Linked DNA regions of Saccharomyces cerevisiae S288C. The protein of the gene in region 2 purifies or fractionates together with the protein of the main gene of each other region. This does not show direct contact. Each region holds a gene or a part of one and is shown on either strand. Other genes may lie near its edges.

Region 1 (4,113 bases), on a different chromosome or scaffold from region 2:
TTCTCCTCCACCACATCAAAATGTCACGGCCTCTACACCTTCAATGATGAGTACGCAACAACGTGTGCCAACCTCAGTACTATCTGGGGCAGAAAAAGAATCACGAACCCTACCGCCCCATGTGCCTTCATTGACGAATCGTCCTGTGGATTCATTCCATGAGTCAGATACTACACCGAAGGTGGCCTCTATAAGAAGGTCAACGACGCATGATGTAGGCGAGATTTCCAACAACGTCAAGATAGAGTTTAATGCACAAGAAAGATGGTGGATTAATAAAAGCGCACCTCCTGCTATAAGCAATCTGAAGTTGAACTTTTTGATGGAGATCGATGATCATTTCATTTCCAAAAGATTACATCAAAAATGGGTGGTAAGGGATTTTTACTTCTTGTTTGAAAACTATTCGCAACTAAGATTCTCCTTGACCTTTAATAGTACAAGCCCAGAGAAAACGGTAACGACTCTTCAAGAACGCTTTCCATCGCCAGTCGAAACACAATCAGCACGTATTCTTGATGAATACGCTCAAAGGTTTAATGCGAAAGTTGTAGAGAAATCTCATTCATTGATAAATTCACATATTGGGGCTAAGAATTTCGTGTCACAAATTGTATCCGAATTCAAAGACGAAGTTATACAACCCATAGGAGCAAGAACGTTTGGCGCAACTATATTGAGTTATAAACCTGAAGAAGGAATCGAACAGTTGATGAAGAGCTTACAGAAGATTAAACCAGGTGACATTCTTGTAATTAGAAAGGCCAAATTTGAAGCTCATAAAAAGATCGGAAAAAACGAAATTATCAACGTTGGAATGGACTCCGCCGCTCCGTATTCGAGTGTTGTTACTGATTATGATTTTACAAAGAATAAGTTTAGAGTTATCGAAAATCACGAGGGAAAGATTATTCAAAACAGCTACAAGCTAAGCCATATGAAAAGTGGGAAGTTAAAGGTTTTCAGAATTGTTGCGAGAGGATACGTAGGTTGGTAATTTACCCAATGCTTCCAAGGGGAAATTGTGAATGCTTTCGATTTCATCATTTTCCTTTCGCATTTTCTTATCGTTATAGTTTAAGTGTATATTTTCATAACTCTTCTACAGAAGAAACTATACAAAGATTAAACAACCGTTTTTGTATCAGGTCTTATTTGAGCGGCTCAAAACGAAAGGTAGGATTCACTTATCTTACCGCCGTCAATAGTATCCCAAGTTGTACCTTTTCGTATATACCTACAATTCTGGCTTCAGACGCAGTAATTTTTGAGCAATCGTAACAAACGGTTTGCCCCTAGAGTTTGAATTTTTCTTCATCACTCCATGATAGTGCTCTCATATATTATCTTACGGAAATTAATCCAATATAGGTGCCCAAAGGTTGAAATTAATACGAACTTTGACCTGGCCTTAATTATCGATTCTAATACTATCTGAGTTTAAAGAACTTGCGGGGAAGAAATACGGAAAACATAGAAAGGCGATGGCAGATGAAGAAAGAAAAGATTAAGAAGGTTAATAGAAAAACCAAATCATGAAGATATTCTCCACACTCTTATCGCAAAAACCTAAAGGCAAACTGGTAATTCGACCATCAACCACTATACATAGTAGTGATCCCTTTTCAAAATTTATAGTGACGAAGAATACCGAGCCTCTTTCTCTTGGTGACCTTCGAAAAAGCGATTCAGGAAATTCAGCTGTGTGCTTAAATGCTGAAAATACTATATTAAGTACGCTAACTGATTTACAAAAAGAAGAAGAAAGAAACTGGGATCCAGTGAAATTTGTTGCTGGTAAACTTCGAGGTGTAATTTCACCCATCCAAGCCTATGTGACGATTGGAAAAAAATTTTCCCCTAACTCATTGGTATACACTAGTAGATTCTTTCAACTTCATTACTTCCCTGAAGACCATTTTATGTCTTGTTTTAGAAAAAGTAAACCAGCAATAACGGTAAAATCCAATAAGAAGTTTTATTTAAATGGGAAGGTTTTCAACAAGGACAAAGAATATTTCAATGAAACTAGGATATCAAAAGCTAATGAAGTCGAACTAAGCAAAATTCAAACAGCGATGACACGGCTTACAAATAGACATAGAAACAGTATTCCCTCTGAATTTGCGTACTTGAGACGAGATTTAAAATTAAAGGTGAAAACAACGTTTATCAAGGAGTGGTGTAAACTAAATGGTGATAAGGCCATTCGAGAGTACGTTAATCTTAACAGATCTCCAAATATTAATCCTGCTAGCATGAAGGGCAAGCCAAAGAAAAGTTTTTTAGATAACCTTGGTAGAAGTACTGTGGGAACCGCAAAGGACGGCTATTATTTATACATTGTTAGCATATTTCCTGATAAAGATATGTTAGGAGAATTTAATGACGAGGTCAATAGAAGCGTTCAAAAGGTTGCCAATTTGGATTGGGATGGGTTCTTGACCCCAAAAAAAGGCACGAAAGGCAAAAATTGGGTAGAATCGTTCAATGACAGTATAAACGTTCAAACAATTAACAAGATACTCGAGATCAACAAGTTTCCATTTGAATTAAGAAGAGAACAAACAGAAGGCTGAGAAATGGGCCAACCATGCATCTCTCTTGCTGTCCACTATGTATCTACATATACGTTTTAAATATTTATCATCGAATGTGCAAATACAAGAACGTCACTTTCGAGTCTAAGTGGTTGTCACTCATGTTTCGTGATAAAAGAAATATTTACAACCCGGGATTTTGAACCGTTGCATGGTCATACTCGAGGAGTATTAGAATCAAGCCATTATGATCTGCTATATATCTTAATGGTAAGATCACAATATAAATGGATAGCAATAACTTTTGAGTATGAGGAGTTCCACTTTCATAAATGTTATAGATATGGAAAGCTTACGCTGATGTAAGTAATGAGTAATCACAAAACGAGGTAAGAAAGGCCAAGCGAAAATAAAGTCATATATTTTAGGCAAAAAAAAAAAGTCTCAAGTAATTCTCTATAAGGCAATAAAAAAATAGTTCTCATTCAGTCTTTTTTCTTTCTTTTTGAATACGATGGCTCGATTAAGGTTCTTCATTTCAAAAAATATCTTGCTTATTAATATTGAGTATGAATGAAAGATTCATATCAAAAGTAAGCGCAAGTGGTTTAGTGGTAAAATCCAACGTTGCCATCGTTGGGCCCCCGGTTCGATTCCGGGCTTGCGCATTTCTTTTTTATATTTCTTCTCTTACGTTGTAGGAGTATATTTTTTTTAAATAGTCCACTGGAACAATATCATTTCTGTTGTAACTATACCAGATCTGGGTTACAGAGGCCAGAACACATATAACGTTACACAATGATTCATGCAGTTCTAATATGTATGTAAGATTTCTCAAGGGTCTTTTCTTCTGCCAAAATTATACATTACTAACATAATTCATCATTTTTGGTATAGTCAATAAGAAATGCCAACCAAGATTAGTGAAATTCTACACGCCGGTCGACCTTCCAAAGCAAAAACTGCTATTAGAGCAAGTATATGAATTGATTTCTCAAAGGAATAGCGATTTTCAAAGTTCTTTTTTAGTCACGCCACCATCGCTTCTGTTAAGCAATGAAAATAATAATGATGAGGTAAACAATGAAGATATTCAAATCATCTATAAAAACTACGCTACACTATATTTCACTTTCATCGTGGATGATCAAGAATCAGAACTGGCCATATTAGATCTGATCCAAACTTTTGTGGAATCATTGGACCGTTGTTTTACTGAAGTCAATGAACTTGATTTGATTTTTAACTGGCAAACTTTGGAAAGTGTATTAGAAGAAATCGTGCAGGGGGGCATGGTCATTGAAACAAATGTGAACAGAATAGTTGCTTCTGTTGACGAACTCAACAAAGCTGCCGAGTCCACAGATAGTAAAATTGGAAGACTAACGTCCACTGGATTTGGAAGCGCACTACAAGCGTTTGCTCAAGGCGGATTTGCACAATGGGCAACGGGGCAATAAACAAACAAATTAATCGGATGATGGTTATTTTCGTTCGTCAAGATCTGCACGTAAAACCGGCTTGAAGAAAATTAGCTGAGCCGGGCATTTCCCAGCTTTTTTAATATATA
Region 2 (7,276 bases):
GCTCAAAAGGATCTTCTTCAATATCAATTAGAAAATCCTGGCAACAAATATGTAAATTTGGAACTTTTTTCGGAAACTGTTGCTGAGGGTATAATCGCTTAAATTCATTCAAATTGGAAAATGCCAATTTAATTTGCTTAAACGATTTATACAACGTGACTATGTTATCCGTTATCATGTAAAATCTAAAATGATATTCGGCATGAAAATGAATCAATGAGGTGTTTATAACAGCGGATTTCTTGCAGATCAACTCTTCAGTGTCTAGCTCAAAGTCATTAATATTTAGCAAGGAAACATAAACCTTAATATGCTTCACATAAACCGATACCACGTACGCTGACAAAGATGCAATTGTAAGATTTTTAGTGGAACTTGAAAGTCCAATCCTCTCGAATATTAGGAGTACCTCTGTATTATGAGGAAGCGTTAGCTCTATAATCATCTTTCCTATATCTACTCTTAATCTATCGAGAACATTGACAGATTTTACACTGCTCACTGAATTTCGGCTCAATTTTGAATTAGGACGAAATTTTATCCATATACTCCGAATATAAAACCACAACCAGATAATATTTACATCCATCTTAAATTTAATCTTGGGAAGTGAAAAATGAATTTCATCTGAGTCGTTAAAACTCAATAACAAATTGGTAAATTGAATAATAACCTCAGGAGAGGGCTTATACGTAGTGCCATCCATGAAACGATATACGGATGCATCAATAATAGTGAAGTTTTTCTCCTGGCTGTCCGCTAACAATATTGATTCTGTAAAAACAACTTTGGCGCCTCTAGTTACGTCAGATAAGTTAAAATTCTCAGCTTCCACAGGATCCAAATTTTTCGGAAGAAACCCAGCGACCAGTAACGAACATGAAATATCCTTCATTCTAAGTTTCAATGACCAGTTAAATGTTTTCTTGGCTTCATTTAGGTCCCCCAATTTTCCACCATTCGCTTTATGAGCCGCATTCCTTTTTGTTCTGCTAGATATTAGCAAGTAAATTTTGTCAAAGGCGCGACTTAAAGTATGCAAAACTTCAATGTTCTCAAGACTAACGTACGAATGTCTTAGTGTAGACTGAACGATCAATTTAGAATTTGAAAATTCATCCAGAAATGTGTCTAATCTTTCAAAGCCACAGACTGGTATAGACACTGGGTTAGCGTCCTGCTCTGTTGGAATTCTCAGGTAAGAGAGTGATGTACCCACAATTTTAATATAGTTAGATAATTGATCAGATACTAGGGCTGTCTTCGCAAATGGCCAATCCGGACGTATTTGCATTACTTGTCCCTTTTTAGGAGTCATAGACAAGTTGTTACGGCTAAAGAGAGCATGTGTGCTGAAGACCTTAAACGTCACATTCTCCTCATCTGATATATGCAGCCTTGAAATAAAATTCGACATTAGTAGTTCAAAGTTAAAACTGGGCAATCGATCAATATCTAAATCTAAAATATTTAATGATCTGTCGTTTGTGTTAGTACATGATGAGGTCTCAGGGCTATCGAATTTGTCCACTAAATGAAGAACTTCCAGTACTTGATGTATAGTGAGGAATACTGAAGGATTTATAATGTTCAAAATGGAAGATACCTTCGTTCTCCGTAAAGGTACATTGTCAAGTAAAAATAGTAAAATATCTGACGTCAGTATGACATTTCCAAATGGAATTCTAACTGCTGTATTACCATCGATATCTACTACAACAGCATTTGCAGAAAGTGATAGTTCAAAATCGCCCCATGTGGGCTTATTTAAGGGTAAAAGTTCCAAAGCGGAGACATTATTTAGAATGGAGATTGATTCCAAGTAAAGTTGAGCACTTGATATGCGAATTGTAAACTTTTTTTTGTAAATCAACTTTACATTTTCTACCTTAAGGTCCAGAATGTTCAAAGTTTTCAGTGGGTAGTGAAAAGGCTTTAGCATCTTACGATATGAAGTGAGCATTTCCGCATCATCACCAGCAGAAAAAGGCTCAACAGGCTCCGAATGCAAATTCTTCCCTTTCTTCTCTGGAAGATGCCAACAAACATCACTTATTTTGAGACTTGATTTCCAATTTTTTAGTATAACTTTTGTGCAGTTGCTGCCTGTATCATCTTCCTTTCCAATTTTACAGACCATAAAAAAACCAGTATGGTTCAAAGTATCTTTCGTTTCAGGATGGGTAAAATCATGCAAAAATGCCTCTAACTTTATGGTATCATCGTGTGGGTGTGATATCGTTATGGATCCGATATTTAATTTATATTGTTTTCCATTAGGCACTGTAAGAGCTAAAGTATGAAAGAAAGTGGAAAATGAGAACACAAGTTTCAAAATTGATAGGACTCGCCTGTTAATTACAAAGGTAAAAGTTTGATCCCGCGGATTGAAATATGTTCTGGAGTCTTTAGTTGAATGTGCAGTGATATGGCTGTCCTTCCCAAATAACTTCAAATCAACATTATGAAACACAATTCCGGGTTTCCAACCTATTCGCAAGGTTATCTTGCCAATATATATTTGAGCAAAATCAGTTAAGATAAACGCTCGTCTTATTGACGTACCAAAAAAGTATCCAAATGAAATTTTTCGTATTGTGGAATGGCGCAGCATCAATATCCATGACATGAGAATACTAGCGATTTTCTGAATTGATATAATAAAAAGCATAAAGCCTAATAATAGTTTAGACACATCCCTTATTTGAGACCACGGTAACATAGACATTGTAGATTTTTTTTCTTGCAATAAACAGGATACTCCAGCTACTAGATATTATGGATGACAAGCCTACTCGAGAAATTGATCAGCAAAACTAAATTGAATGCTTAGCTTTTAAATGTAAGCCTTTTCGTGGGAAAAAGTGTATGATTTAGTTTTCAAAGAAGTACCTTCTATAATGGTAAATTATTGGTTGTGCTCTTGAATATAATGCATGTGTATGCCCTTGAAGTTTTTAATACAAAGCCACTAGTGCAAACAAATCAACAAATCTATTTACCCTTAATGTTCCTCTTTATCAATCATACAGCCTTGCAGATGGATGGTAAGTGATGGACTATAGAACACCTCAGAGATATTTTACGTAGATGTGCGGGATTAAGGGTTCTGAATTCTCCTGCCCGAGGCGCCCAAATTTTTCATTTTCGGATTGCAAAATGATGCCATTCGCTGACAGCCAGTTTTGTATTCATTGAATAAGAATAATGGCAAATTCAGAGAGACAATTCCAGCGATATATCCCGCTTTCCTTCCTTTTTTCTTCCGCAATCAGTTAACTGAATGAAACAATAATGTACTATAAAGGTGTTTGATGAGATCCTTGTCATTGTCGGCATCCAGGTAAATTCCATTAGTAACTGCATCTTTACTCACGATAGCTTCTAGAGTTGGCTCGTGGAGATAACCAAGGTTAAAGACAGACTGTGTAATTGGTAGCCCTTTACCATGACTAACTACTTGTATTTCAATCGGGGGTGTTTTTCTCTTGTCACAAATGAGTAAAACACGATTTATCGAAGAAGGTCCAACATTCGGTATCACTGAAAGTCTTGCTTTTATAAATGCGTGCAAGTTAGCATTGTATTCCGTTATAAATGTAGAGGAATCAACTTCTAGGCTCTTTGGAGTTGATGTTTGCAATACCGAGATTGGGAACCATGACGTCGCAGCCGCCAAGTTGTCTTGTACAATGGAGGCTGAATTCAATACGTACGAGCTTTTGTATGATTTGGAATAATCTAGTGTAGGTACCAGTTTTAGTTTATCTTTATCAGCATGCTGATCTTTGCCAGTTGATGGTACCACTTTCAATGGAATTAGTAATTCTCTACACGATTTTAATTTTGAGATTTTTTCTGCTCTCATTGGAGAAGCTAAAAGCCTACCATATAAGTTATTTTTTAAATTGAAATTTTCCAAATGGAACTGCCCCACCATTTCCTCTTCATCTTTGAAATAGAGCTTCTTGCGCTTATCCGACCATTTCTCGAAGTTTGTAATGAGCGGAGAAACATCTTTGACTCGTTGGGCACAGTTTTTATTAATGACTCTCGTTGGACAATCTATGAGTAACTTCTTATATGCCGATTTAGGTAAACCCATATTTGATTTTGAGAGGTTCCCAGGAGAATTCACAACAAAATATTATTCGAAGGCTCCTATCGTCATCATGTACCGTGGCGCATTGCCAACCTGTCTTATAGAAAGGCCGATGTCGTAAGCGGACCGGAAAACTGGAGATGAACAGGCATTGCCAATCCTACCGCCACTGTAAAAAACAAGTAAGAAAAAGATAATTATGGACGCTGGCTTTCATTTTAAAATAACATCAAGTTCAGATGATACTTCTGAAAAATACCCAATCAGGAATCTATTTTTATTTGGTAGAAGACTACTTTGTTTACTTATAAAAACATGATAACTATCTAAGAATATATGAACTGATTGCGTTTAACTTAACTTTTCCATTTTGTCTTAATCTTCTTCGTTTCCGGTAGTTAATGGGTTTGTATTTTCAGCAGGAACATGACCCAGGACTTTCTTGTTGCTTATTACACTTATCAAGGAACCAAATGACATGCTCTTCATCTGTGCAGTCTTATTGGACAGGTTTTCATAGTGTCACTTACTTGACGCGGATGTAGCAGGTACAGTATTAGTACTTCCCTCCTTGCGCGAGTGAAGAGACTTATCATTCGATACAGTAGATGTTAGTGGGACGTTTTCCGCACTATATGTCTTTTTCAAACTGCTATAAGGAGCTTCAACACCTTTAGATGTAAGCGGTTCCTTCAACGTTAGACGTGATTGTGAGGCGCCCTTCTCATTGCCGTAGATCAATCGTGAGTCATTACCTTCTTTCCTTGGACCACATTGATGGGGAATATGACAAGCTGAACTTTTGCGAGAGCCACTGCAGTTTTGAGTTCTGTTTTCCTCGAACAATGGAGACTCCATCTCAAAAGGTGAAAGATCTGACCCTCGTCTTGCTTCCGAATTGCAATTCAATGGTATTCCAAAATATCCGTTTGCATTACCATCCAATGCTAGACAACTGGGTGAAACACCTGGTAAGTTCATTAATGGCGAAGGATAAAAATCAACCCGTTGGTTGTGAATGGATGCAACACTGGAGGCACGAGACGATTTATGACTACTATCTGAATACGCGCTTGCCGGAATAATGGCTTCATCCCCATGATTACTAACAGCTATTTGAGGTACCTCTCCGGGAGCCGATGCTTTTCGCGAAGAGGATGCCATTAAGTTATCTGCTGACCGGTTGTAAAGCATACCTTCCCCAGTATAAGGTGAATAAGGCGATTTGCAAGGGGTTCTAATTGTGTAACTCATACCATTTTGTGGAGCACTGTTTTTCGTTTCTCCCACTATGGCCAGATTACCATTTTCATCAATGGCTGGTGTATTGACTTTTGACCTGTATACGGAATTCATAGCGCCTGCATTCATATTTGCGCTTTTTGGGATGTCTATATAACGAGGACGATTTGCCCTCTTCCTAGTGTTTAACGTGGTAACAGAGGAAGATGGCGTTACTTTTTCAGAAAGGTTAACAAAACTGTCTACTGGAGTGATATATGTACTGTTTTTGGACCTTTGAGAGCTCTTTCCATTATTATGGTTTCTACTTTTCAGAATCTTTTCTTCAATGAAGTTCGACCTCTCCTGAGTAGAATTGAAACTTGTAAGCGCTTTTATGTCCTGAACCCATTTCTTGAAATTTTTTGATTCCTCTGGAGTTGGTTCAAGACTTGCGGAAAATATTTTAAACGTCCATTCAACGCGCTTCTCGCAAATTGACTTCTTATTGATGTTAGCTTCTTCTTTAGCCTTTTTTTGTTCCTTGGGCACGGAAGAACTCTTTAGAAATTTCGGAACGGACACCATCGAGAGAGCTGAAGGCGTACGTTGATGTTTGCCCTTATTTGAAGCAAGCGTCTTTGTTGGACATGCCAAATCTGAGGTCGTGCTTGATTCTTTTGTACATGTGTCCTCTGGTGAATGATAACTAGCATACCCTTGTAAAACAAAAGTTGAGTCAGTACTATCCTTTAATGAGCAATCATTTAAAGACAAACTAGAGATAGGATATAGATTCGAAGAACTCAAACCCTTTCTTCTCTTCGTCAGTTTCGGATCCTGTGTCCCTTTGCTCGATGGGTGACTGCCAGCGTTAGTCCCATCCTTATTCACACGGCTAATGTCTGATTGTTCAACAACAGGTTTATTTTTTGAACGGGGAGACTTGCTGTCTAGAAAGAAATCGCTGCTTTTGAATTCGTGAAGATAATTTGTAGTCAACACAAAATAACCTTTAGTAAAACTTTTAGAAGACTCTGTTTTCTTCAGTAGATATCCTACTCTAATGCATTTGGCCAGCGGCGATTTCATGTTAGGATAAACAATATCAGATAATCTTCTGGGTTGCGGTGGCGGGTCTGTCGATTTTAAATTCATCAGACAGGTAGGATGATGAGAGACAAAATTATCCCACTCTACAGCCGGTGGTCTAGATAGAATACCTTGCTGCAATTCATGGCACAAATTTTTGATCATTAATCGTGCTTCTGAATCAATTAACGCTGAGTAGCGCTGTAATGCGGATTGAATTTTAGAATATACTATTTTCTCCAGTTGTAGTGCTGCTGATTGTAAATTCAGAAAAGCTTCTCGAAGATAGTTTTCTTCGAGTAATTGTCTTTTCAGCTGCAAATCTAGTTGTAATTTCAAAAGGTATGGATCGTGTTTTGGTTTTAATTTTTCACCTTGCTTATCGCCCGAAGTGGATGCTTCATCTAATAACTTCACTGAAGCAATATATTTATTCAGAAGCCTGCTTGTTATTTTGATATGCTCGCCTATGTTAGTCTTGAAATCTCCATTTAATTCTTTAATTTCTTTCATCTTTGTGGTCAAATCCTTACGCAAGTCGGTCAATTTGGGTATAATATATGCCAAGATTTCCTTAGAGATCTTATATTGTTGACTACCCAAAGATAAATGGTACTTCTTCAAAATCACTTGAATATCTTGAATGGATCCTGACCCAAATTTCATGAAGCCAGAAGAAGCTGAAGCTACCTCTTCCGAAGGTACTGATTGGATTGACTGCGGCTGTTCCACATCTGTGTCGTACTTGCTGTCCAATTTTTGAGCGGCCAATGGGACAGGCTGAGGTTTCTTAGTAGGCAACTTAGATATACTTGGATCAACCAGTTTGTTTGTTTCATCTTCCAAATCAGTAAGAAAAGC

The links. The genes of interacting proteins can lie anywhere in the genome.
Region 1: the proteins of RRG8 (region 2) and PET130 purify together in Saccharomyces cerevisiae (affinity purification with mass spectrometry, with the first as the bait; 2 studies listed by BioGRID). This does not show direct contact.

Annotation. Positions count from the first base shown.
Region 1 is NC_001142.9:395,821-399,933, reverse strand, and holds PET130 (Pet130p), read left to right. Parts: upstream 1-1,535; coding exon 1,536-2,579; downstream 2,580-4,113. Other genes in the region: BBC1 (Bbc1p), read left to right, coding at 1-997; APS3 (Aps3p), read left to right, coding at 3,342-3,363, 3,441-4,003.
Region 2 is NC_001148.4:755,477-762,752, reverse strand, and holds RRG8 (Rrg8p), read right to left. Parts: upstream 4,106-7,276; coding exon 3,272-4,105; downstream 1-3,271. Other genes in the region: HOB2 (Hob2p), read right to left, coding at 1-2,728; RGC1 (Rgc1p), read right to left, coding at 4,625-7,276. UniProt on the Saccharomyces cerevisiae protein: Required for respiratory activity and maintenance and expression of the mitochondrial genome.